3 linked regions of the Ovis aries genome follow. The protein of the gene in region 1 purifies or fractionates together with the protein of each later gene. This does not show direct contact. Links are inferred from orthologs where the notes say so. Each region holds a gene or a part of one and is shown in the gene's direction. Other genes may lie near its edges.

Region 1 (8,879 bases):
AATTTTGCAATAGACACTTCAGGGCCAGTTGATGTAAACTCTTCTACCTGCTCATGACTGTCTAGTCATTTCAGTACCAAAACGAAAATCGAAAACTTATTAATAAAACCCCAGCCATTAAAAACTTTTATTAGAGAATTGGCTGAGTCTTTCCCTGCACGGCCTGGAGGAGGTGAAACAGCTGGCTTGGAATGCAATCTTTTTTTCCCTCCACCACTCTCTTCAAGACTCTAGGGCCAGAGCCAAGGCCAACTTGAGAAAGGGGCAGGAGGGGCCCTGTTGAATCCACACAGCAGACTACCTGGCCTGCAGCCACCTGGCCTGTGGATCAGTTGTACATAACTCAATAGAGAAGTAACCGACCACAGAAGATGCTTGTTCAGGGGATTTTTGTTTCACTGTCAGTATTTGTCCTTGACTAATGTCCTGAGGTTAGTCCAGATCAGTGTACTGCAGTTGGTGAACAGGAGGGTTAGTCATTCCTAGCTTTCTTACAGAAACTTTCAGGTTCAAGTCTGTTTTTTGCTGGTTAGTAGCCAGAAGTCTCTGGAGCAGGCCATCAATAGGAGCTGTGATTCAGGAAAGTGGAAACCTCTTGGCTTTTAAGTCAAACTAGGCGGTCCTCTGCCTGTCCTGGGCAGGGAACAGCTCCGCCATGTCATGCTGAACTGCAACACATCCAGCCTTTCCAGCTTCCTCAGGAATAACAACCAAGTACACTGTTCATTTTGATGTTAAAATCACGCAGACACATAGCTCAAGGTGGAAACAAGAAAACTGGTTGAATTCAGCTCAGTCTCTCAGTCACTCAGCCATGTCCAACTCTTTGTGACCCCATGGACTACAGCACACCAGGCTTCCCTGTCCATCACCAACTCTTGGAGCTTACTCAAACTCATGTCCATGGAGTCGATGGTGCCATCCAACCATCTCATCCTCTGTTGTCCCCTTCTCCCACCTTCAATCTTTCTCAGCATCAGGGTCTTTTCCGATGAGTCTGTTCTTCACATTAAGTGGCCAGAGTATTGGAGTTTCAGCTTCAGCATCGGTCCTTCCAATGAATATTCAGGACTGATTTCCTTTAGGATGGACTGATTGGATCTCCTTGCAGTCCAAGGGACTCTCAAGAGTCTTCTCCAACACCACAGTTCAAAAGCATCAATTCTTCTGCGCTCAGCTTTCTTTATAGTCCATCTCTCACATCCATACATGACCACTGGAAAAGCCTTAGCTCTGACTAGACAGACGTTTGTTGGCAAAGTAATGTCTCTGGTTTGGAATATGCTATCTAGATTGGTCATAGCTTTTCTTCCAAGGAGTAAGCGTCTTTTAATTTCACAGCTGCAGTCACCATCTGCAGTGATTTTGGAGCCCCCCCAAATAAAGTCTCTCACTCTTTCCCCATCTATTTGCCATGAAGTGATGGGACCAGATGCCATGATCTTAATTTTCTGAATGTTGAGTTTTAAGAACCTGGTTAGAGCAAGTAAATCACAAAAGGAATTTAACCAACTTGAGGGTTACAATTTACTTGTTAATTATTTGTCCTCTTTTATTCATTAAAGAAAATATTTTATTTTAGTTTTTCTGACCATGTTCCAAGGTATGTGGGATCTTAAGTTCTCTGACATGGATCAAAGCTGTGCCTCCTACATTCGAAGCAGGAAGTCTTATCCACGGGACTGCAAGGGAAGTCCTTATAGGTTTTCCTTTTAAAAACAGATTTAAGACTAAGAGAGCACAGGATCAGTGCCTTGCAAATGACAGGCTGAAGCCCTGAACCTCCCCACTCATCTTCAGTACTGCTCCGTAGATGCCTGTGGTGGCTCATCCATTTCCTCCAAGCCAGGGATTGGGGGACGGGGGTAAACGCTCAAGTGCGACAATCTTGGGATCATGTGCTGGCCATGCAGTTTGTCAGTTGATCGACACTGAACTTAGCTTCCTCAACTGCACTATATGTCTAGTAATTCATAGCCATTGTACAGATGTGAGCTTATGTAACAGTGGTACTGATTACTTACCAAGAACTGTGGGAGGTCCAGGCATTCCGTTAAGTGCTCAATCTGTTTTATCTCCTGTAATTCTGCTCAGATAGCAATTTCAGAGCTGGGGCCTGAAGACTGGCAATTTAGAAACCTAATCAGTTAACCCTCAGATCAATCAAGTTGAGAGCCATGGGTGTGTACTAATGTTCAGACACTGATTAACCTTTCAGGGTTTTAGAGAGGCACAAAAACTTCATCCTGCCACTCACTAGCTGAAGATATTTGTCTAAGTCTTTCACCTCTCCAAACCTCAGCTTCCTTGCTCAAATGAGAGCAAAAATAGCATCCACTTCTGCGAATTACTCAGAAAGTGAAATGAACCAGTTTGGGTGGTTATACATGTGGCACACACAGAATTTTTATGCTGTTAGCTGGTGCCTGTAGGCCGCCTCCTTTTTCTTAGGTGACCTTCTGACCTCTGCACATAGGTCATCATGTGAGTTTAAATTTAGCACTCTTCCATCCACATGGTTCATTTCAAATCCTAACTTTTGGGGGAGGGAATAGTGTGTTATGGTGGAAAAATCCTTGTTTTGGATCCAGCTGGACTGAGTTCGAATTCATATATTCATTTGAGCCTCCGCTTCCTCCTCCATGACATGCGGGATCCTCTACATTGTTGGGAGAATGAGAAATAATTGATGTAAAGGTGCAACGTACAGATATTGCATTATTATTGGTGTCGTAGTTTTAAAATCTAGAAGATGTGAAAACAAAAAGGCAGAAAACTCTTTAAAAAATTCAAACAGTTAACAGAGGCAGAGGGTGGGGAGAGGGTGGAGGATGAAGAAAAGCTGGGGAGGTTCAGACTCCCAGAGGAGAGGTCTTCACATCACTGTCCCCTCCCCCCAACACTCCCCTCCCCACCAGGGGCTCAGCACTGGACAAGGATGGTTACCCCTGCTTAGGGCTGGGCAGGACCTCACCCCCTTTTGGTGCTGAATTTCCTCACAACTCAGCTAGAGATCTGTTTGGACCCAGGAAGAGTTCTTGCCAGATGATCTGGGGAGCTTGTCCACGGCTGCAGTGCTAAGATTCAGGCCACAGAACAGAGGAAGCATTTTTCTCTGCAGACCCCTTTCAAGCGAGAATGACATTTTACTGGCCACAGGCAGTCTCAAGTCTCTTTAAAAATTAGAGAGCTGATAAACACTAAATGCAGTGAGTAAAATGCTTTCCAATAAAACACGTCCAGCTTCCTGGTTTTTAGTTTGCATGTTGACATGCAGTTTAGTTGCATGTCTGTGGTCACTTCTGAATGTAGGGAAATTGGGCTTCGGTTCCTTTAAATAAGAAACATTTTCTGTTCAAGTGAGTCACCTCAGTTTTCCAGCTTTCCAAATCAAGTTTATTTTCTAGTTCTCTCTCTTCAGGAATTTTCTTTCTCTCTTCCTGAAGACCAGAGTTTGCCCTTCTGCTGGAAGGCAATGGTTTCACAGGTTCTCTTTCTTTTATCTCAAGATTTTTTAAAGCCCTGCGGAATTTGGTAGCAAATTCTGAACGTAGAGAGGAGAGAACCAGGAAGTGAGTCTTCCAGGGGCAGGCATAAAAGCCTGGTGGAGGCATCGAAAGTAAAAGTAAACTTCTTCCTGGAGGCGTTTCCAACCCCACCTCCTGTCTCCCCCTCCCGCTTGCCTCATTTCCAGGGATTTATCTCCAGCTGGGTTTTAAGAACGAGCCTCAGTAATACGAAGTGTGAAGTTAGGCAGTGTGGGGTCTTGTCGTCGAGAGTTTGGTGGCTGGGATGTTGCCAGGACTGTGTGGAGCAGGTGAGTGCCTGGTGCCCAGTTGGCTTCTGGATGCCGCCTTTCTCACTCGAGGACTTCCCGGGGAAGTCACCTCCCAGTCCTGCCAGAGTGCCAGGTTCTGAGTGGGTTCCTATCTGAACCACAGCCCCTGGCTTTGCTACTTTTTAATCTGAGGACGCGCCAGTTCCTCTGCTGCCTCGAGTATAGGTACACTGTCTCCTGCTGGTTTACTTTAGATTTCCCAGAAGACTTTATTTACCTTTTTATGTTTATTTTCTATACCACTTGTCCTGGGGCAGAGGGTTGAGTTGATCACTCAATCAGATCCCGATTCCCTATAAACCCTTGGTCTTGGGGACCCATGGGCCCCCCGACCCTGCCCTGCTTTATCCATTTTCTTGGATCTCCCCACTCCCCAACCTATCTCCTATCCTCCTCGCTGGCTCCCAAAGTGTGTGTGTTTGCTAGTCGCTCAGTCATGTCTGACTCTTTGCAACCCTAGAATCTGTACCCGCCAGGCTTCTCTGCCCATGGGATTTTCCAGGCAAACATATTGGAATGGGTTGCCACTCCTGTCTCCCGGGGATCTTTGCAATCCAGGGATCGAAACTGCTTTTCCTGCATTGGCACTTGGATTCTTTTCCACTGAGCCACCCGAGAAGCCGGCTCCCAAAGACAACCCTCCGCATCTTATGATACATATCCTTAATTGTTCTGTATCTTTGTGAAATGTACCATTGTTTTGTGTGTGTACACTGTGTCTTAAACTCTGTGACCAGAGCAAGAAAATAATTTCTCTGTACCTCTGTTTCCTCATCATTAGTGGGATTAACACTCCCTCAACAGGTAGCTGTGAGGATTTATTTGATAATAACAGCTTTAGCCACTTAGTGACTGGTGTTGCTCTGTACCCAGTAAGTGTTAGCAATTATTATTACATGTTATGTATTAGTATTCATATTGTAATTTGCTTGTTCTGTTTTTGACTTTTTATTTTTTATTTTTTGCAAGTAAGCACTCTGTACTTTAAGTTCTATGTGTTTTGCCTGCTCCCACTTTGTAACCGCTGCTTATTATTCCATGACGGACAGTCTCTACAACTTATATAAGGGCTATAGAAGAACTGGCCCACCAAGAACTTGGCTGGCTCCAGCTTGCAAACCTTTGCCATTCTGATAGGTACAAAGTAGGTAGCTCATACCTGCGTTGTATTCCCCAGCTTAGTCATGAATTTGAGTATCATTCGCACACTTTGGCCATCTGAGTATCTCTGTCAAGGAACTCTATAGTCAGATCCATTGTCTTTCGTCAGGGTTTCTTTTCCTTGTTGATCTGCAGGAGACCTTTGTATATTCGAGGTATTTCTACTCCTGTGGCACAAACTGGAAACATGGACATGAAAGATGTGGTCCCTGCCTTTGTGAAGATCACAGCCTAGGATAGGAACCAGCCATAAAACAGCAGGACAGATATTGGGTGGATGTATTTAGGAGGCTGCAAGAAAAGAGCAAGGGGGCACTTCCTGGGATAGGATTTAGCCACTAACAGGTTTTCATTCTGTGGCTGCCTTCTCACTCGGAGTTCTCAGGGCAGAGTCAAGGGAAGTTAAGGGCACAAAAGGAACACAGAACCCTTACCTAGCTCTCTGCAGGTGGAGGGGCATTTTCAGCTATCTTGTTAATCCTCTCGGCTGTGAAATTTGCCCTCTGAAAGCTAATACTCCATTTGGGGAAAGAGAACATGTAGTTTCAAAGAAGAGAGGTTTTTTTTTTTTTTTTTCCTCTACTTTAATCATCAGAAAACAACTGATGAGAGCCAAAAGGCAGGGCTAAAGTGAGTTTTGTTCTCTGTTTTATCTCCAGGTCCCAGTCCATGGTGAGGGCCCTGGGATTTTATTTTTCCTTTGGTGAGTTTGGCTGGGCCTTTTGGGAGGAAACAATATGATTCTAGAGTTTTCTAGACCTAGACTGCTGAGGGTGAGATCTTGTATATGAATGTAGGTGGGGGAAACCATGAGAATTTCTGTGGGGGTCAGTAGACCCTCTGAACCATAGTGAGGGCCCATAGTTCCAGAACTCAAGACCACTCAGGAGTGCTCAATGAGTATTATTGAAGGAAACCATTGAAGTCTTAATAATGAACCCATAAAAATCTGTATATTTCTGAAAAGGAAAAGAAAGGGTTCTTAGCTATCATTCAGTTCCTTTTTCCTTTTGGAATGTGGTACAGAAGCCCCGAAGAGAAAATGACCTGCCCAAAGTCACATAGCCAGAGGCAAGTCTCAGATGGCCAGCGTCCCCATCCAGCACCTACCTCTTATTCCACGGGCTCCTTCTTGGAGATGAGGATGCGGGTGCTGCCTGGAGGCTGGCCTGCCTCACTCAGCCTATGGTGACTCAGGAGTTTTGAAAACAGGAAGTAAGCGAGCTACGTTGTTGGTTCTTCATTTGACTCTAATTCCTGTCTTAGATGTACTGAGAGAAGAGGCCCGTGAAGTGGCTGCTGCTGTGAAGGTTCCAGGATTCGCCTCTGGTAAGATCTGATGGGACTTTGGAGAGGAAGGCCTTTGAATCTAGAACTCTCTAGGCTACTGAGAATGGGATCTGGCAGGTTCAAGGGCCCATAGGGTAATCCTAGTATTTGAGTGTAGATGAAGAAACTGGGAGAGTTAGCCGTGCCTCTGAAGGCCGTGGTGAGGGTTCAGAGATCCCAGATGTCCGTGCCCCTCCAGCTTTGGTAGATGATGCATTCCTGAGTTTTAGAGGGGGAATACTCCAAATATATTCATCTTTACAGAGGCCTCACCCTTATGCCAGCCAGACTTATCGAAGAATAGAAACCAAAATTCAAATCTCAACTGACTTTGCTGCTGTAGCTACCCGTCTGTCGACCCACAGACCACCAACATAAACACACACACACCTAAACAGACACACATAGAAACACACACACACAGTGCTAAACACTCAATTGTTTATTTATTTATCTTTGCGGGATGGGGGTGGGGGGATTAAAAGGGTAAAGAACAGTACAGGGAGTAATATAATGGCAATAGATTGATAATCAGTATTTGTGGAGTTAACCATTCATAGGTGGAATTATGAATTTCATTCCAGCATTGGTTTGGAAGTGTGAGATTAAGCATTTACAGGTGAAGTTATACCTTCGTTCAGTTTGGTAGGTTTTTAATTTGGCTGGAATGTGGATACCTTTTCTGGGCTGTGTGATAGTGCTGGCTGGGGCCCTGCAGTGAACAGTGCTTGTGTGGGTCTCTGGCAGGTTCTGGGTGAATCCCAATTTGGAGTGGGAATCCTGATTCGGAATGGGAACCCCAATTCGGAGTGATCCTCCTGGACTGGAGGGAATGGCCATCCTATTACCTAGGGCTTTCAGGCCTGAGACTAACTTTCCAGTACTCTTAAGCTGTGAATGAGACACATATTTTTGTCTCAGAAGAGGAATACAAATTTTGGGTTTATTTTCTCCAGCTTTGAGGTAGTTTTTCATTAGACTGAGAGAGCTAAGATGCTGCTAGAATATTGTTAGAAGGATTGTTTGTGATTAGATGAGATTTATTTGCAATTTAATTGTGGTGTAACAGGCAGTGCTAATTCGGGACTCTGGGATGAGGTGCTGAGGTTTAAATCCAGGCTCCAGCGCATACCAGCTTGGTTGTAAGGTTCTGATCTTCTCTCTGCTTTAGTGGATTTGTTAAGAATTTTTGTTTGTTGTTTCTTTGGGGGGTTTCTTTAAGAATTCTAAAGACTGTATAGTCCATGGGTTCACAAAGAGTTAGACATGACTGAGTGACTTTCACTTCACTTCACTTAGTCTTTTAAAATTTTAAGTAATTCATAATCTTTAAAAATATTTTGATTATGTGTCTTTATTAAATTTCTTCACTGGCTTCCAACTGCAATTAGAATAAAATCTAAATCTTTGCAGGGTCTGTCACTAAGCCTCTTGAGATGCTCTAATCTGGGCCTGATACCTCTCACTAGTTTATTTCTGAACTGATTTTTCATGGTAATAAAGTGAAGACGATAATAGCAATTTCTAGAGAGGATTGCAGTAAATGAGACAAGAAAAATATTTTTATGTTTATATCGTTATATGTTATAAACATTTACATATCATAATACAAATATTTGGCTATATAAAAATACTTTGGGGCACACATTATAAAAATAATAGATATAGTTACATATCATATAATACAAATATATGTATGTGGGCTTATTGCTTAGATATTGTATAATTGAAAGTAAAAGAAAACTTCTGAAGGCCTTTCCATTCCCACCCCTCTCCTCTATCTTGCATGCAATATAAATCAATATATTCAAATTGATATATTCTACATATGTATATGCATACATTATATATGCATATATGTGAATAAAATTGGGAAAGAACCCACAAATGTGACCCCAAAATTACTTCTAAATTTTTCCAAGTGGTATTTTTCTTTTAAAAGTTCTCTAAGGAAAAAGTGTTACTTTTACTACTTTAGGATGAGAAAAATAGAGCAATGACTATTCTTTTTAAAATATTACTCTAATAAAGTTTCTGGCTTATGAGCTCATGCAATAAAGCCAGGTCCCATAAAAAAAAAAAGTGCCTTTTAGTTCCTCTTCCTACAGATCTTAATCTAGAGGTGGTCCGTGGTTAATGGTATAAAATCTGGAGCAGGTAATAGTGCTTCCCAGGTACTACGAGCAGAGAGATGGGTGACCTAAACAAAGACAATATTATACCACAATGTGTTTTGGAAAACCTGGGTCAGGAAAGAAGCCTCACCAGTACTTTCCCTACTAAGTGTCCATTTTAATGTGATGTAAAAATCACTTAGAAAGCACTGCCAAGCTATTACAAAGAAAATGAAATGACCTGGTTATAGAGGACAGGAGCCAATCATGTTATATTCAAACTCATGTCATTCTGGCTTTGGATTGGAATTTTTTTGTATGTCAGAAAGTGCTATTGAATAGGTAACAAAAGCCTTAAAAAGCTTTATGTCTTTCATCTCAATAATGCTATTTCTAAGAAATTATTCTAATAAAATAATCAGAGTTGCATTGGAGAT
Region 2 (8,079 bases), on another chromosome or scaffold:
ACCCAGCGGCAGGAAACAGTCATCATCAAAAGTGTAGGGTATATTTCTCCTTTGTTTATTCCAGCATTTATCCAGCAGGTATTTTCATTGAGTACCTTCTATGAGACCAACACTGTGAGGGATATAAAGATAGACAACGTGTGGTTCTCTGTTCCATTTCCTGTCAGTTTATGGCTGAATGCCAGATAGCTGCACAGATGGTTGTGGTATAGGAATATAAAAGAGACTCAGTTTTGCCTTTCCTGTTCGCTAACACCTCATTCATGGTGTGTGGTCTTGGGCAGCTACAGAGGGAATGACTGCTCACATCATAGCCTCAGCTGGTGGGAGCATCTGCAAACCACATGGAATTTTACAGGCTAACTGTGAGGAGCCTGATGTGGATGAGCACTCGTCTATGCAACTTTTATTCAAAGTCTAAGTTAGCTGAATTTATTAGCCAAATGGTAGTGCTATTCCACTGAAATATCTCAAGTCAGAGAAATAGTATCTATTTTGAGAACTGTTGTCTATTTTAAATCTATCAGTTTAATTTAGTGAACATGTACTGATAGCATGCCCTGGGTTAGAAACTGAGCTAATTACTCTGATAGATTAAACATATAGTAAGGAATTTGCCATTTATTTGGAGGAGTAAGACTAGTCATACAGTTACCATTAAAAAGAAGGCGAGTCAGAACCAACAAAATAGGGTGACGCCAGAGTGCTTCCAGGTTTGAGTGGAGGAAAGAATCATATTCAATTAGAAAGGCTTGGGAAGGTTTTCCAAGAAAAGAGATATTTTAGATGGTGTTCGTAGTGTCGATAGGAATTTGACACAGAGATCAGTTTGGGAGGGCATTCCAGGCAGGAAGAACAGCACGGACTAAAGCACAGAGGCAGGGAGGCTGGGTGTGCTCAGAACTCTAGTGTGGCAGCATCCAGTGTGGGTGAGTAAGCCAGAGGAGGCTGGACAGATGAGCAGAGGGCATGTGGTGGGGAACACGCATGTGCAATTACATGTTTAATGAGGAGTCATTCGAGGTGTTTGAGACCTTAGAGTAATTAATCTGGGGCCAACTGTAGAATGCCACTGGGGAAGACCTGGTGGCCTGGACATTCGCAGTCTTCTTCAACTCTTGTCCTGTAGTCCTGAGGGCAGCAGAGCCAGAGATGCAAGGGCCCTGGATTTAGACTCAGGAGACCTGAGTGTTGGTCCCACTCTGACACTGAGTTAGCGGATCTTCTTGGACAAGTCACCCAGCTTTCAAGCTCATTTTGCCATCTGTAAGATGGGACAGTAATCTCTACCTCAAAGGATTGTTGGGAGTTATAAATGCAGTAACTTATATGGCAGGTCTTTATAAACCAACCTTTATATTGCTTTGTAATTTATAATTTATGCATGTCTGTCTTAATTTGACTCCTTTTTACCTCTCTGTTTCTGAAATATAGGCTGCTGTAAGTCCTATAGTTTGGACTTGAGTGATTAGTGTATGTTAGACTGTTGCCATTTATGCTTATAAAAAGTATCTTTTATTTAAATGCCCTGTTTAGAGTCCCACAAAAAAGAATAGTAGTTATGTCACTTTGACATGTATCCTTCATCTCTCTGTAATACAGGTCACCCCAGTCCACCCTCTGAGAAAAAGGAACTGAAAAAAGCGGCTCATTTAACAGGTCTGTATCTGGAGGGCCATCTTGGGAAAGCCTTTGGCAGAAAGCAGAGTAGCTGGTTGGTTTCTGTGACTGAGCTCTGAGGGAGCTGATACTTTCCAGTGACAGTATTTGAAACCCGAGTAGTCACATCTTTCTAGTCACGCCAACACCACACACATGCACACACACACACACACACAGGGCGGCTCTAGGCAAGGCCCTGCTCTAAGCTGGCGAAATGGAGGTGCTTATGACATGATCCCTGCTCATAAGGAACTCACTCTCTTCACTCACTCCAAGGACCCTTAGGGAATTTGGGGCATAGGTCCAAGAGGTAAGAGCTGGGGAGATGGTGAACAGTGAATTATTTTTTTGCCTTGGTTTTCTGGGAGAGTTTTTCTCTGTCCATGAGCAGAAATAGGAGAGGGGAGGCCAGGCCCTGGCACACATGGTCGTGCAGTGGAGTGACATGATTTGATAGCAAGACAGTGGGGGCACTGTCAGTGTGAAGTCCACAACATCTGCAAAGTGGATGAGTATCACAGAAACTGGCATGCTGCTGTCCCTGAAACTATGTCAGCAGAGGCTGTAAAATGACCCAGTTTAGATCAACAGATATTTCTTGAGCATGTGCTGTGTGCCGAACCTGGGCCACGTGGAGGTGAATCACACATGGCTCCTGCCTTCAAGGAGCTTACAATCTAATAGGGAAAGACAGGTATGAAAGCAATATTTCCAGCATTCTCTGCTTGAAGTAGGTATGTACACCATGCTGTACAGATACAAAGGAAAGGGGATTCTTGCCCACACTGAAGAATCTTTCGTGTAGGTAAAGAGTTGGACTAGATGATTCCTAAGGTCTTTTCCAACTTTAGAACTTCAGAGTGCCTTGGATTTGACTTCTCCTCTCACAAAGAGACTCAAACTCTAGCAATTTGTATGCTAGTTCTGAACCTCTGTTCATAGAATCTCTGTTCCAGAGAGCTAAAATCATCCTAGTCTTTTCTCAGTGCAGTTGGTTAGAAACATATGTTATTGTCCCAGTTGTGTGGATGATAAAATTGAGGGAGTCAATTTGATAAACGTGCTGAAGAAGTTCAGTAATAGGTCAGGCCTGACCCATCACCCAGTTCTATGTCATTTGGGGAAAAAGCACTTGCTCAAGGAATGGTCCACAGTTTTGCCTTGAAAGCTTGGTCTGTGGGATACATGAGCATTCCTGGCTGAAAGCTCCTCTCTCGTTTGATTTCAGGCAAGCCCAACTCAAGATCCATCCCTTTGGAATGGGAAGACACCTATGGAATTGCCCTGGTCTCTGGGGTGAAGTACAAGAAGGGCAGCCTTGTGATCAATGAAACTGGGCTGTATTTTGTGTATTCCAAAGTGTACTTCCGGGGTCAGTCCTGCAACAACCAGCCCCTGAGCCACAAGGTCTACTCCAGGAACTTTAGGTACCCCCAGGACATGGTGCTGATGGAGGGGAAGATGATGAACTACTGCACTCCTGGCAAGATGTGGGCCCGCAGCAGCTACCTGGGGGCTGTATTCAATCTCACCAGTGCTGATCATTTATATGTCAATGTGTCTGAACTCTCTCTGGTCAGTTTTGAGGAATCTAAGACATTTTTTGGCTTATATAAACTCTAAGCAAAGCACTTTGGGATTCTCTCCAGTATGATTCCCTGTTTCAGGCCCTGAGAATATTGTCTTGAATGAGAGTTTTCTTAAGTCCACTTGAGGCCATGAGAGAAGACATGAACCAAGAGAATCTTGAGACCACGGAGTCCAGCAGGTCCACAGTTCCTTAAAGGCCCACAGCCAGACAGGAGGAGGACTATGAGTAACGAACATGAAACTCTGGGCTGCCATGTGGAGACGCAAAGGCAGGGAAAAGTGACTACCAGTTGCTTATGCCAGCAACTACACTTGTCTTAAGTGGCCTAGTGCATTTGGACACATTGAAAATGGCACCTTTTAACTCACCTCTTGGGGTGGGTCTACTGTCTACCTCAGAGGAGGCTGTCTTTCATGTATATGGGTGTGACATGAATGTATAAGGGATGGGAAAAGAGGACCAGGCTTGCATGATAAGCTAAAGAGACTGAAAGGCCAGCATCCCACTGGTAGCATCTTTATTTCTAGATGTACAGTCTGAGCCATCAGGTGATGTTAACAGAGAAGCAAAAGAAATCTTTGGGAACTCAAAACACTCCCTATACAACATGCATATTTCCAGTGCAATTGTAGGGGTGTGTGTGTGTGTGTGTGTGTGTGTGTGTGTGAGTATGTGACTAGAGGGTTACATAAGTAGAGAGAACGTGGGAATTGGGAAGGGCATATTAGAATATGGGCTGCATTTGGTGGTAGATTTTGAATGCTTTTTGGTAACCAACTCTAATAGTCCTCAAAGCTCTTTGATTGTCAGTTGTTAATGCCATTTTTCCATAATATAACTATATTTATATGTATTTTGTACATTTTTAATGAAAAGAATACCCATAACAAAAACTATATTTTATAATATAGGTAGGCATTGTGAGTGTTCTATTTGGAAATCACTGAGGTTTGTATCTTTTCCTTATTATTTCTTTTCTCCATGGCTTCCTCACTCATTATGATTTAAGCCCACTTGAAGAAGAATTTACTAGTGTGAGAAGAGTTATGAGGCAGACCTTTGCATCTTTGCCAGGCTCTCCTCTCCTTACTATATTCTCTTTCCCTTCTTGCTTCTACTACCTAGAGTTTCTATTACCAATATTATTGCCAGTGTTAAGCTCACCTATTTCCCATAGATTTGATGACAGTTTGTCTTTTCCTGGTGGCAGAGACATGCACGATGGAAAGGGCATAGACTTGGGCCTAAAAACCTGAATTTGAATCTTTGTTCCTCTACTTGATAACTATGCAGGTCACTTGACCTTTTTTGGACAAAAGGGGGGTGATACATAAAGTATCTAATACATAGTAGAATGTCAAAAATAGTATCTGCCATTATTAATAAGGGGAGGTACTTCATTCCAGAAGAAGCTACAAATCTGAGAGATCCATCCAAACACCTGTTTCTTGCCTCCTCACCTTGGTCAGTCACAATGACCTTTTCCTATTTTGTCCAAATGCTCATTACTATGACTTCTCCTTATACTTTGTCACTGTTAAAAATAACACTTCTGTTAGAATTTGACTTCAGCACCTTATTTTCACAACACAATCTCCTATAATTCCAACTCAATTTGGTCCAACATCTTCTCTCTTAAAATATATATTTTTCCATATTTGACATTCAGTTAATAAATAGTATCATTTTCTTGCTTATCTATCAGCTCCTTCTTTATCTTCACTCTTTTCTCTATTCAACTTAGATTCCATGATCTGTCATTACAATCAGTACCTTGGAAAGACCTTGAACTCCAAAATACTTGGTTACAGTCACTATTTTCCTCTTGGAAAATCTCATTTTCTTTAAGCTGGCATCCTAGCAGCTGGATGTTGCTGGAGAAAAATAACTCAAACTGATTGATTAGTTTCATTTTATTTTTATCTAGCATCTGCTTAAATCAACCAATGAATTATTTATCTATCAGTGAATTATTTCTGTCTTTTGATTGATTTGAATAGGTAATACCTACACATAGTACAAATTGTAAAAGGTATGCGAAAACATAGGATGAAAGCAAGTCCTCTTCTCATCCTGTCCTGTGGCTCCACCTCTGCCCATAAGGAACAGCACTGTCTCCTTATGTAACTTTTGCGAGATGGTCTATACATAAATATGACATCACTTTATGTCAGGGTTTCCCAAGCTCGGTTCTGTTGACATTCTGAGCTGGCTGATTCTTTCTTGTGAGGGTTGTCCTGCCTGCACATTGTAGTATGTTTAGCAGTATCCCTGCCTTCTACCCACTGGATACCAGTAGCATTCCCCTCCCGCCATGTGTGATAACCAAAAATATCACCAAATGAAGTCAAATGTCCCCAGGCTGGGAGTGAGGAGACAAAGTCCCTCCTGGTTGAGAACCACTGCTTTTTATTAGTGATCAGAGATTTCAAATCAGCATTCAAAGGCCCACCACTTTTTCTTCAGTTTCTTCATGGGCATTTTTTTTTCACTGTTTGAGACAATTACATCATGTCTTTTCCTCTTGTAAACCAACCACATCCCCTCCTCCCACCATGGAATCTCACTTCTACCACTGAAACACAAACCCGCCTGCGTCTGAATGATCTCTTTCTTCCATCCAGTACGGAGGAGGACGAGGACCATCTATTTGTGCGCTAGACTCCTTTCCTCTTCCCTGCTTTACCTGTTTACAATTTTTCTTCTTTCTTCTGGATCTTCAAACTAGCTGTCTATGAAATAATGCCCACTAGCATGTAATACATATATACTCAAGTATTTCCTTTCACTAAAAGACAAATCAAACCACAAATCAACCCAAACCTTTCTTTAACCTTCCCCTTCATTTCTCATTTTTCTGGTAGAGACAAACATCTGAGAAGGCTTTTTCCACACACATGAGCTCCATTTTTTTTTTTTTTCAGCCAGGAATCTGGCTAGGTTATTTATTTGACCACTTAAAAAATCTGGTTTTTTCTTTTTTTTTTTCCTGTTAGAATAAAAGTTCTGAAAGCAAGACCTTTTCTGTTGTGTTTGCCTTTGTATTCCAGATTACCTCAGTGCCAGCACATATTAGGTGCTCAATAAATATTCATTGACTAAATAACTTTAGTCATAAGGCAAAAGCCTTTCAGTGGATATGTTTTTCAGAGTAGTGAATCCATAGCTGTGTTGCCTCATGGATGTGTGTGCATGTTTATCCATCTTTGACTAGATTATCCAATGAGAGTTTGAGGCTACAGATGAAAAAAAAATTGTGCATCCTAATTCATGGAATTAGAAAACAAGAAAGATCTAATTGGTCCTTGGAATTACCAGGAGCTTTTGGGAGAATGTGGAGGAAAAATTCTAGGTAATTAGAGCTGAAACTGTCATTTAGAAGATACTCAATACATATTTCTCTTCCCTGGTAGCTCAGACAGTAAGGAATCTGCCTGCAGTGCAGGAGTCCTGAGTTCGATCCCTGGGTTGGAAAGATCCCCTGGAGAAGGGAATGGCAACTCACTCCAGTATTCTCACCTAGGAAATTCCGTGGACAGAGGAGCCTGGCAGGCTATAGACCATAGGGTCCCAAATGATTGGACATGACTGAGCAATTAATACTTTCACTTTTTCAATACGTATTTGTTGAATAAATTAATGAACAAAACCAAAGGTGCAGGTTGGAGTATGCCACCTGATTTCCTTAAAACTCTTCTGTTGATTAATCTGCTTTATATGGTCAGGTTTCTGACCAGGTACCTCTTGGAGAAAGTCAGAGAGGTATTCACCCTTCTTTCGGCTGATTGTCTGTACTCCCAACCCTCACAATGACATTTTCCTCATCAGTTTCTTCTTCATATGGCTTCATCCATTGAAGTAAACTGGTTCTAATGGTCATGGGAAGTTGGCTGGACCATTTTGAGGGGTCAATGGGACCTTCTAGAGAATGGGGTTAGAGCAAAGAGGAAATAGGAACGGTGCTGGGCATCCGGAGGAGACTTGATGCCATTAGCTAGTGGTGGTACTACTGGTCCTTTTATGCATCTGAGTCTGCTCTGCTAGGATGCCTTCAGGATTTTCTGAAGACAAGTTTGTAACTTACTATTTCATTTCAGGGAAGAGGTATTAACAGTTTCCTTAGCTATTTTTCTGTAAGCAGGAATACAAGGGATGTCAAAACCCTAAAACTTTTTGAATGTGCTCAACAAAAATAGAGTCAGCCATTGTTCCCTTATGAAATGATAAACCCAAAGTAGAACACTTATTAAAAAAAAAAAAAAAGTCACCTCTGGTTCAGTAGTTTGAGGTTTTCTTTCTTTTCAAAGAACTAAAACCATAGAAAACCATGTTTTTTTTTCCCTTAGCCCCCTAGAGTGGTAACTTTGTATCCTCTGAAGTAGGTTTTGACTTACCACAGCTTTTCAGAAAAAAAGGCTTTACTGGGACCATCACTGTGAGAATGACTAACTTGAAACAACAGATCATTGGAAGACATTGAATTGCTTAGAGAAGCTGCCTCCTCAAAGCCAGGCTGTAAGATTTCCTTAAGGAAGTTAAGCCTTAGACATTTCTTGGTCCTTATTTAAGGAAGAGTGCTGTTAAATTGTATGTTAAATTACATTTTTTCAAAGGAGTTTGGTTAAGTTCTGATGTTAGTAGAGACGATTTTTTACTTTCTCTTTGTGTGTACGTATTTGTGTGTTTCTTTTCCAGGGGTTTGAATCATCCAGAGGCAGAATGAGGTAGTCCTAGGAAAGCTGAATTAAAGCCCATTCCTTAGGGCCTTCAGACTCAAAAATGGACCTTATTCAGAAATAATATAACTACTGATAGTAGCCAGGAAT
Region 3 (8,079 bases), on another chromosome or scaffold:
CATGAACTTCTAGAACGGGCAGGGGGTTCCCAGGTGGCTCAGTGGTAAAAGAATCTGCCTGCCCATACAGGAGACTCAGGAGACATGGGTTCCAACCTTGGGTTGGGAAGATCCCCTGGAGGAGGAAATGGCCACCCATTCTAGTATTCTTGCCTGGAAAATCCTACAGACAGAGGATATCGGTGGGCTACAGTCCATAGGGTCGCAAAGAGTTGGACACAACTGAGCACACATGTTGCCCTAATGGTCCAGCAGCAAGCGATGAGAAGGAAGACAGACACAAAATCTGGTGCAATGGGTCAAGGGACCTGCAGCCTCTATTGGACTGAGGTGCAGAGTCCACTCTGAGTCCAGGTTTTATTCCTAATTGCAGACTACAAGACTTTCTTTGATCTTATCTTTCTCACGACACTACACTGACATAGTCCAGATCTCCTTGCTTCACCCCTTCTCAGCTAGTCTTGGGAACAATTAGCAAGTGTGTAGGCGGCGTTCATGCCTGACGCTGACCCAGTGTCCAAGGTCCATGCTTTCACGATCCCAGTCATACTCCCTTCTGAGTCTGGTCTTGGGGTTTGTAACAGGCGATTATTCTAAGAAAAACATGTAAGATAATCATTAACACAGTTTCTTAACATATGCTGTTTTTCCAGGTGCTATTTCTGTGAAATTTCTCAAGGCTGTGAAAGTACATTATTAGGAATTCCCACTACACACACACACACACACACACACACACACACACGCACACAGACGTGCTAGAACAGGCAAAAGCAACTTATAGTTAAAGAAATCAGATCAGTGGTTGCTTTGATGGGGACTATAAAGAGGCACAAGGGAACTTTCTGCACTGATGGGAATTTTCTAAATCTTGACGGGTAAAATTAACTTCGGTGTGTACATTTGTGAAAGTTCCTTGTATTTTATTGCATGTGAAGTACACGTCAATGAGACTGATTTTTAAAATGAGGCAGTTTGGGGACGCCCCTGGTGATCCAGTGGTTAAGACTTTGCCTTCCAGTGCAGGGAGTGTGGGCTCAATCCCTGGTCAGGGAGCTAAGACCCCATATGCCTCCTGGCCAAAGAACCAAAACATAAAACAGGAACAATGTTGTAACAAACTCAGTGAAGACTACAAAAATGGTCCACATCAAAAATCTTTAAAAAAAAATGAAGCAGTTTAATATTTAGCTGGTACAGAAAGGTCTCAAAAACTTCAGTAAATAAACAAAACAGATGTCAAACATTACGTAATCTGTGTTCTTCTTGGTGTGGAAAAAAAAAGGGAAAGTGACAATGGTTGCTTCCTGATAGCTTCTGTCTTGTTAGTTTTACAGAATGAGGAGCCATTTTACAGAAAGAAGAGGATAATATTGGAGTCACATTTGATTTCTCCATTTGGAAATAATATTGTCTTTTAGATACAAAAAGCTGGGAAGTTTTTTTTCAGAAAAAGTAAGTATACTAGAAATCAAATCTGCCTGATTACATAGTATGCTTTCATATATGGGTGGTATTGAATAGAAAAATCAATTTATGCCTTCCTTCGATCAGTTATATATGGAATTCCCATCATATATTCTTTTGTGATTTGGAGAATTCAGTTATAAATACGGTGGCCTGGGATAAATGGCAGAACCACAGATAAGCCACAAAGAGTGATGGTTTTAAAATATTGGTCCCCTGCCATCACCTGCGCGATCATTGTGTAGATCTAAGTGGCAACCAAAACGTAACTCTTTCCACCTTGATGACCATGTCTAGAGTATGCTGTCCAATGCAGTTAGCAGCAAGTAGCCATGTGTGTCTATTTAAGATGTGAATTTAAATAAACAAAAATTAAATAAAATTTAAAATTCAGTCACACTGTCACACAAGCCATACTTCAACTGCTCAGTAGCCACATATGACTAATGGCTCCACTGCTAGACAGTACGAATATAGAACATGTGTACCATCTCAGAAAACATGGTGACATTCCAGCTGAGGTTAGCAGTAGGGATCAGCGACAGAGACAAGGGGGACCTTGGATGGGACTCTGGAGGTCTGAGCACCTGATGATGCAGTTCAGATCAAAGAGGCCGTGGGGTCTTTGGGAGCAGATATCCACTTGGATTTGTCAAGAAAGATTTGAAAAGCAGGAGCAGCCTAGCCCGGGAGAAAAGTAATGCAGACAAATGTCTAAGAGTACGACACCAGAGAGACATTTCTCAGAGCTGGCAGAGACTGCCTCGGAGAGTTAGATCTTGGCAAGTCAGACATGAGACAGCTTTTCCAGGGAACCTCACCATGGGAGATGAGAGTTTTGCAGTGATACTCTTCAGAAAACACCAAATTTCACCTCAGATAAAATGTGCTACTCCTTTGAGTGGTGGCAACAGAATAATGGCTAACAATAGTAGCTAACATTTATTGAGCTATTACTTTCTATGAAATACTACACATGAATTCTCACTACAACTTCATAAGTAACTTCTCAACTCCATTGTACAGATAAGGAACCAATGGTATACTGGAGCTGGTTCTTACTGTTTTATGAGACCTGATTGGTAAATGTTTATGCTTTATGCTAGCCAGCTGACATACATTGTTAGCTTGAAATTGGCCACAGTGGAAATATAATGTGCACATTGGTATGTGCTATGAATTTGGGCCTTTTCCCTCAGAGAGGCAATGTTTTCAATGGTTGGCAGTGCAGCACTGAAACAGGTTCAGAGAGGCTTAGCAACTTGGCAAGGCTTCCCTGTTGGCTCAGATGGTAAAGAATCTGTCTGCCAATGCAGGAAACCTGGGTTTGATCCCTGGGTTGGGAAGATTCCCTGGAGAAGGAAATGGCAACCCACTCCAGTATTCTTGCCTGGAGAATTCCATGAACAGAGGAGCCTGGAGGGCTACTGTCCATGAGGTCACAAAGAGTCAGACTTGACTGAGCAACTAACACTTTCACTTTTTCAAGGTTACACAGATGGTAGCAACTGGCAGATTGTATGCCAGTCTCCTTGTTTGAAAGCCCAACATCTCGCCCCTCTGACCTTACTCTTGTACAGTGAGGACAAGATTACTCACTTTACTTTGTTATCAGAGAATAAAACATCTTGTTCACCAAGGACTCTGATGTTAGGAATGAAGGGCTTTACAGAGCTCTGCTTGAAGGCCTGGAATTCAAGCATTCGGTATTCCCATAATTCAAGATAGGTCCAAAGGAGGTGGTGGTGGGGGACGAATGAACCTAATGCTCTGGCAACATGATGCTAGTATACATATTTTGTACAAATGAATAAATATGTATATTTCCCCTCACTTTCTCAGTGAACTTCATAAAGGAGAACAGTCAAGTTCTCATTCGAAGGATGGGAATGACTGTGATAAAGCAAATTTTGGATGAGCTATTTGTATGGAATGTCATGAATTACGAAGAAGTAAGTGTCATTCTTGGCGAGAGGTTTGAGCAGGACGCTGCAAGAGGGATCATTCACATGATTTTGAAGAAGGGTTCAGAAGCCTGTAACCTCTTTCTTAAATCCCTTGAAAAGTGGAACTATCCTCTGTTTCAGGAACTGCATGGACTAAGTAAGTATCAGTTTGCTTTTATATGTTCTACAAAGAGAATAAACCACGAAGAAGATCCATAATCCTCATGACAGAGCCTCTGCTCTCCTCCCTTTTCATATTCCTGGGCTGTGAGCTTTGGTCACATTCAGGAAAAGCTCAGACACTCTCAGGAAAGAGAAAAACACTCCCACTAGATTACTTGATGGTGAAGCCAAATAAGAAACTCCGAGGTCAGGGAATAAATGATTTAGCATAGTCTGACTTCAGAATCAAATTGGATAATGAAGGTACTTAAGTAGTCAAAGCAGGGACTCACCTGGCAGTTCAGTGGTTAAGACTCCACACTGCACTGCAGGGGGCACAGGTTCAGTCCCTGGTCAGGGAACTAAGATCCGTCATGCCAAGTGCCCACACCCCTAAAAAAGAGAAGTCAGTGCAGTTTTCAACATTCCTCAATCTGACGAGGACCGTCTTTGGACAAGCGGCCCCGTGACTACCTACTCTGATCCAAGCTCCACTCTAAAGAGAGCCTGACTGACTAAAGAAGCATGATTCTGCTTTTCATGAAATATTAATCAAGGTTAACTCTTGATTTGCTGAGTGTCACCAGACCATCATTCTAAGCCATTTCCCCACTAGTCTCATGTACATTCCTTATACCAAACACTGGCTCCTCTCCTTTCCAATCAGCTGCTACAAAGTTTGGTGTTGGAAATGAAGAAACAGAAGGGGAATGGGGGTAAAGGCCAACACAGAAAAGCAGGAGTAAATATCTGGAACCCTTTCTGCCATTCCAGAACTGGGGAAGGAAATTAAAGTCAGATTCTCAGCACCACCCCTTCCTTCCTCCTCCTGAACGCTAAGTTCTGCGGACACACAGAACTGGGTCCTTTTTAACTCACCTCTTCTCTAACAGGTCTTTTTCATCAGATGTCAGAAGACGATTTAGATGATTTGGCTCAGGAATTAAAGTACTTCTATGAGAGCCCATCTTTTCTCAACTTCTATCCCCTGGGTGAAGATATTGACATCATGTTTAATTTGAAAAGCACCTTCACAGAACCAGTGCTATGGAAGAAGGACCAACACCATCACCGCCTGGAACAGCTGACCCTGAGTGGCCTGCTGGACACTCTTCAGAGCCCCTGCATCATTGAAGGGGAATCAGGCAAAGGGAAGTCCACTCTGCTGCAGCGAATCGCCATGCTCTGGGCCTCCGGAGAGTGCCAGGCTCTCGCCAAGTTCAAATTAGTCTTCTTTCTTCGTCTGAGCAGGGCCCAGGGTGGACTCTTCAAAACCCTGTCTGACCAACTCCTGGATATACCTGATGTGATCAGTAAGCAGACTTTCATGGCCACGCTGCTGAAGTTACGGCAGAGGGTTCTTTTTCTCCTTGATGGCTACAATGAATTCAAGGCCCAGAACTGCCCAGAAATTGAAGCCCTGATAAAGGAAAACCACCGCTTCAAGAATATGGTTATCGTCACCACCACCACGGAGAGCCTGAGGCACATCCGGCAGTTTGGGGCACTGATTGCCGAGGTGGGGGATATGACTGAGAGCAGTGCCCAGGCTCTCATTCAGGAGGTGCTGAGAAAGGAGTTCGCTGAAGGCTTGTTGCTCCAAATTCAGAAATCCAGGTGCCTGAGGAATCTAATGAAGACCCCTCTCTTTGTGGTCATCACTTGTGCAATTCAGATGGGGAAAAGTGAGTTCCACTCTCACACACAAACCACGCTGTTCTGTGCCTTCTATGATCTGCTAATAAATAAAAACAGGCACAAACGTAAAGGGCTGGCTCCTAGTGAAGTCACTCAGAGCTTGGACCACTGTGGAGACCTAGCTCTGGAGGGTGTGTTCTCCCGCAGGTTTGATTTCGAACCAGATGACTTGTCCAATGTGAACGAGGATGTCCTGCTGACAACAGGACTCCTCTGTAAATACACAGCGCAACGGTTCAAGCCAAAGTATAAGTTCTTTCATCAGTCATTCCAGGAGTACACAGCAGGACGCAGACTCAGCAGTTTACTGACATCTGGAGAACCAGCAGAAGTGACCAAGGGGAATGGTCACCTGCAGAAAATGGTTTCCATTTCAGACATTACATCCAAGTACAGCAACTTGCTTCTGTACACATGCGGCTCATCTGCTGAAGCCACCCGGACTGTTCTGAGACACTTGTCATCAGTGTATGAACATGGCAGTCTCTTGGGACTTTCTGTCACCAAGAGGCCTCTCTGGAGGCAGGAATCTATGCAAAATATGAAAAGCACCACTGTGCAAGAAATTCAGAAAGCCATAAACATCAATTCCTTTACAGAGTGTGGAATCAACTTATTCCATGAGAGTATATCCACGTCTAGCCTGAGCAATGAATTTGAAGCTTTCTTTCGCGGTAAAAGCTTATATATCAACTCAGAGAATATCCCTGACTACTTATTTGACTTCTTTGAAGACTTGCCTAACTGTGCAAGTGCTCTGGACTTCGTTAAACTGGACTTCTATGGGGGGACTGTGGCTTCGTGGGACAAGACCACAGAAGACATAGGCAGGACCCAGGATCAAGAGTTCTCAGGAACCTACATTCCCAGCAGGGCTGTGTCTTTGTTCTTCAACGGGAAGCAGGAGTTTAAGACCTTGGAAGTCACACTCCGGGATTTCTGCAAGTTGAGTAAGAAAGATGTCAAATATCTGGAGAAAATATTCAGTTCAGCTACAAGCCTCAGGTTGCACATTAAGAGATGTGTCGGAATGGCTGGAAGCCTCAGTTCAGTCCTCAGCACCTGTACGAAAATTCATGCCCTCATAGTGGAAGCCAGTCCCCTCACCCTCGAAGACGAGCAGCATATCACATCTGTGACAAACCTGCAGACCTTGGGTGTTCATGACCTACAGATTCAACGGTTGCCAGGTATCATGAACACCAGCAGTTTAAGCTATAATCCAACCTGGTTATTTACTGCAGAAATATTAGCTATCATTTGTTTTGCCTGAAATTTTCCAATAGTTTCTACCAGGAGTTAGGACCTAGAAGGGAAGTGGGAGGGCTTGGGAGAGAGTTCCTTGCTGGGGGAAGTCTGTCATGTTGGGAGGCCCTAGGGTGGATTCCCAGAACTGAAGCCCTATAGTCTGACTGCATAGCTATGTGGTAGTGTGTATGGTGGTGTGTGAGTGTGTGTGTATGTAGGTGTGTGTGTGCATGTGTATGTGTACAGTAGGTTAAGCTTGTTTTCTGTGAACCCTCCATCTTGTCAGCATCTCTGTCTCAACCCAACACTCACTGCTTTCCTACCAAGTAGCACCTGTCCTTCTTTGAAGTCTGGGAGGAAAACCACCCATTAATTGATCGCCTGCAGAAGCTGCTGGCCAGTCATGTCACTAGACTCTTAACTAGGACATTGCAGCACACACCCAGTCCCACCTCTACCTCAAGCATCATTCATTCTGAAAGAAAATTTGGGGAACAGGTTTTGTCTAACATGAAGAAATTAGAGACAACAGACACAATACATATGGGGTAAATCTTTCTGGGTAAAGGGGAGTTTTCACCAAATTCAAAATAACACTAAGGGTGAGGGTCACCTGTGTAGACCAGCCGCATCTGTCTAGATCCCTCCTGTTAACCAGAGCAGGGGCTGCTGAGTTCTGTGTAGTTATGGGTCGACAGGAGCCTTGCTTTATGAGACTGTAATCTGAGATTGGTTTTCATCCGCAAATGATTTCCCTTTTGGTTCTGCCTCACTTGTCACCATGTAGGGGATAAGCTTTCCAACCTTCTACTCAATGCAAGAATCCCTTCTATCAGGTTCTGGATAGTTACTCAGACTATTAAACTACCTTCTGTGCTAGCAGGCTTACCGTCTCCTCTTGATGGCAATTCTTTTGTGCCAATTTGGCAAACTGGTCACTTACAGGCTGAATTTGATCTACATATTATTAAAAATTTCTTTTTTCCTGTTGGCCAATATTTTGTTCTTAATATCTTAAATTTATTTTTTGAGTAAGGTATTCACATGGTCCAAATTATAAAACAATCTATAATGAAAAGTCTCCTTCCTTTCCCTCTCCCCTCACAATGATTCTTTTCCTTGAAGGAGCTGTCACCATTTTGAAGTTGGGAGATGTCATATGAAAATACAGGTCTCATTGCTCTTGAAAATTACAGACTTGACAACTGCACTTGGTAACAGCTGGCTAGAGCTTCATGATCTGACCCTATGCTCTTTGGACAAGACACATAATCTTCAGTAAGACACAGAGGTCACCTGTTCTACTTCTTGTAATAACATCATCTCTCTCACCCTCTCTGACATTTGAGTTTATAATCAGCATTTATTTTTTCTTACAGCTAGGATCTAGTCACTACTGAAGGGCATGTAGGTTATTTTCAGCTTGGGCAATTATAAGTAAAGCTACTATAAACATTATTATGCAAACTTGTATGTAAAAATAAGTTTTCAATTCACTTGGGTAAATATTTAGTGCTGGAACTGCTGAACCATGTGACAAGTGCTTGTTTAACTTTTG

Evidence for each region. The genes of interacting proteins can lie anywhere in the genome.
Region 2: the proteins of CASP8 (region 1) and FASLG purify together in Homo sapiens (co-immunoprecipitation; 8 studies listed by BioGRID and IntAct, with this or other methods). This does not show direct contact. The link is inferred for Ovis aries from reciprocal best matches to the Homo sapiens genes CASP8 and FASLG.
Region 3: the proteins of CASP8 (region 1) and NLRC4 purify together in Homo sapiens (affinity purification with western blotting; 3 studies listed by BioGRID and IntAct, with this or other methods). This does not show direct contact. The link is inferred for Ovis aries from reciprocal best matches to the Homo sapiens genes CASP8 and NLRC4.

Annotation. Positions count from the first base shown.
Region 1 is NC_056055.1:203,613,446-203,622,324, forward strand, and holds the start of CASP8 (caspase-8), read left to right. Parts: upstream 1-3,621; 5' UTR 3,622-3,817; exon of another isoform or gene 3,818-5,178; intron 5,179-5,658; exon of another isoform or gene 5,659-5,702; intron 5,703-6,109; exon of another isoform or gene 6,110-6,203; intron 6,204-6,265; exon of another isoform or gene 6,266-6,328; intron 6,329-8,879. UniProt on the Homo sapiens protein: Thiol protease that plays a key role in programmed cell death by acting as a molecular switch for apoptosis, necroptosis and pyroptosis, and is required to prevent tissue damage during embryonic development and adulthood.
Region 2 is NC_056065.1:39,436,780-39,444,858, forward strand, and holds the end of FASLG (tumor necrosis factor ligand superfamily member 6), read left to right. Parts: intron 1-1,602; coding exon 1,603-1,659; intron 1,660-2,890; coding exon 2,891-3,285; 3' UTR 3,286-6,269; downstream 6,270-8,079. UniProt on the Homo sapiens protein: Cytokine that binds to TNFRSF6/FAS, a receptor that transduces the apoptotic signal into cells. Involved in cytotoxic T-cell-mediated apoptosis, natural killer cell-mediated apoptosis and in T-cell development.
Region 3 is NC_056056.1:91,646,664-91,654,742, forward strand, and holds part of NLRC4 (NLR family CARD domain-containing protein 4), read left to right. Parts: exon of another isoform or gene 1-593; intron 594-1,329; 5' UTR 1,330-1,454; coding exon 1,455-1,455; intron 1,456-3,309; coding exon 3,310-3,570; intron 3,571-3,868; exon of another isoform or gene 3,869-3,968; intron 3,969-4,454; exon of another isoform or gene 4,455-4,468; coding exon 4,469-6,463; intron 6,464-8,079.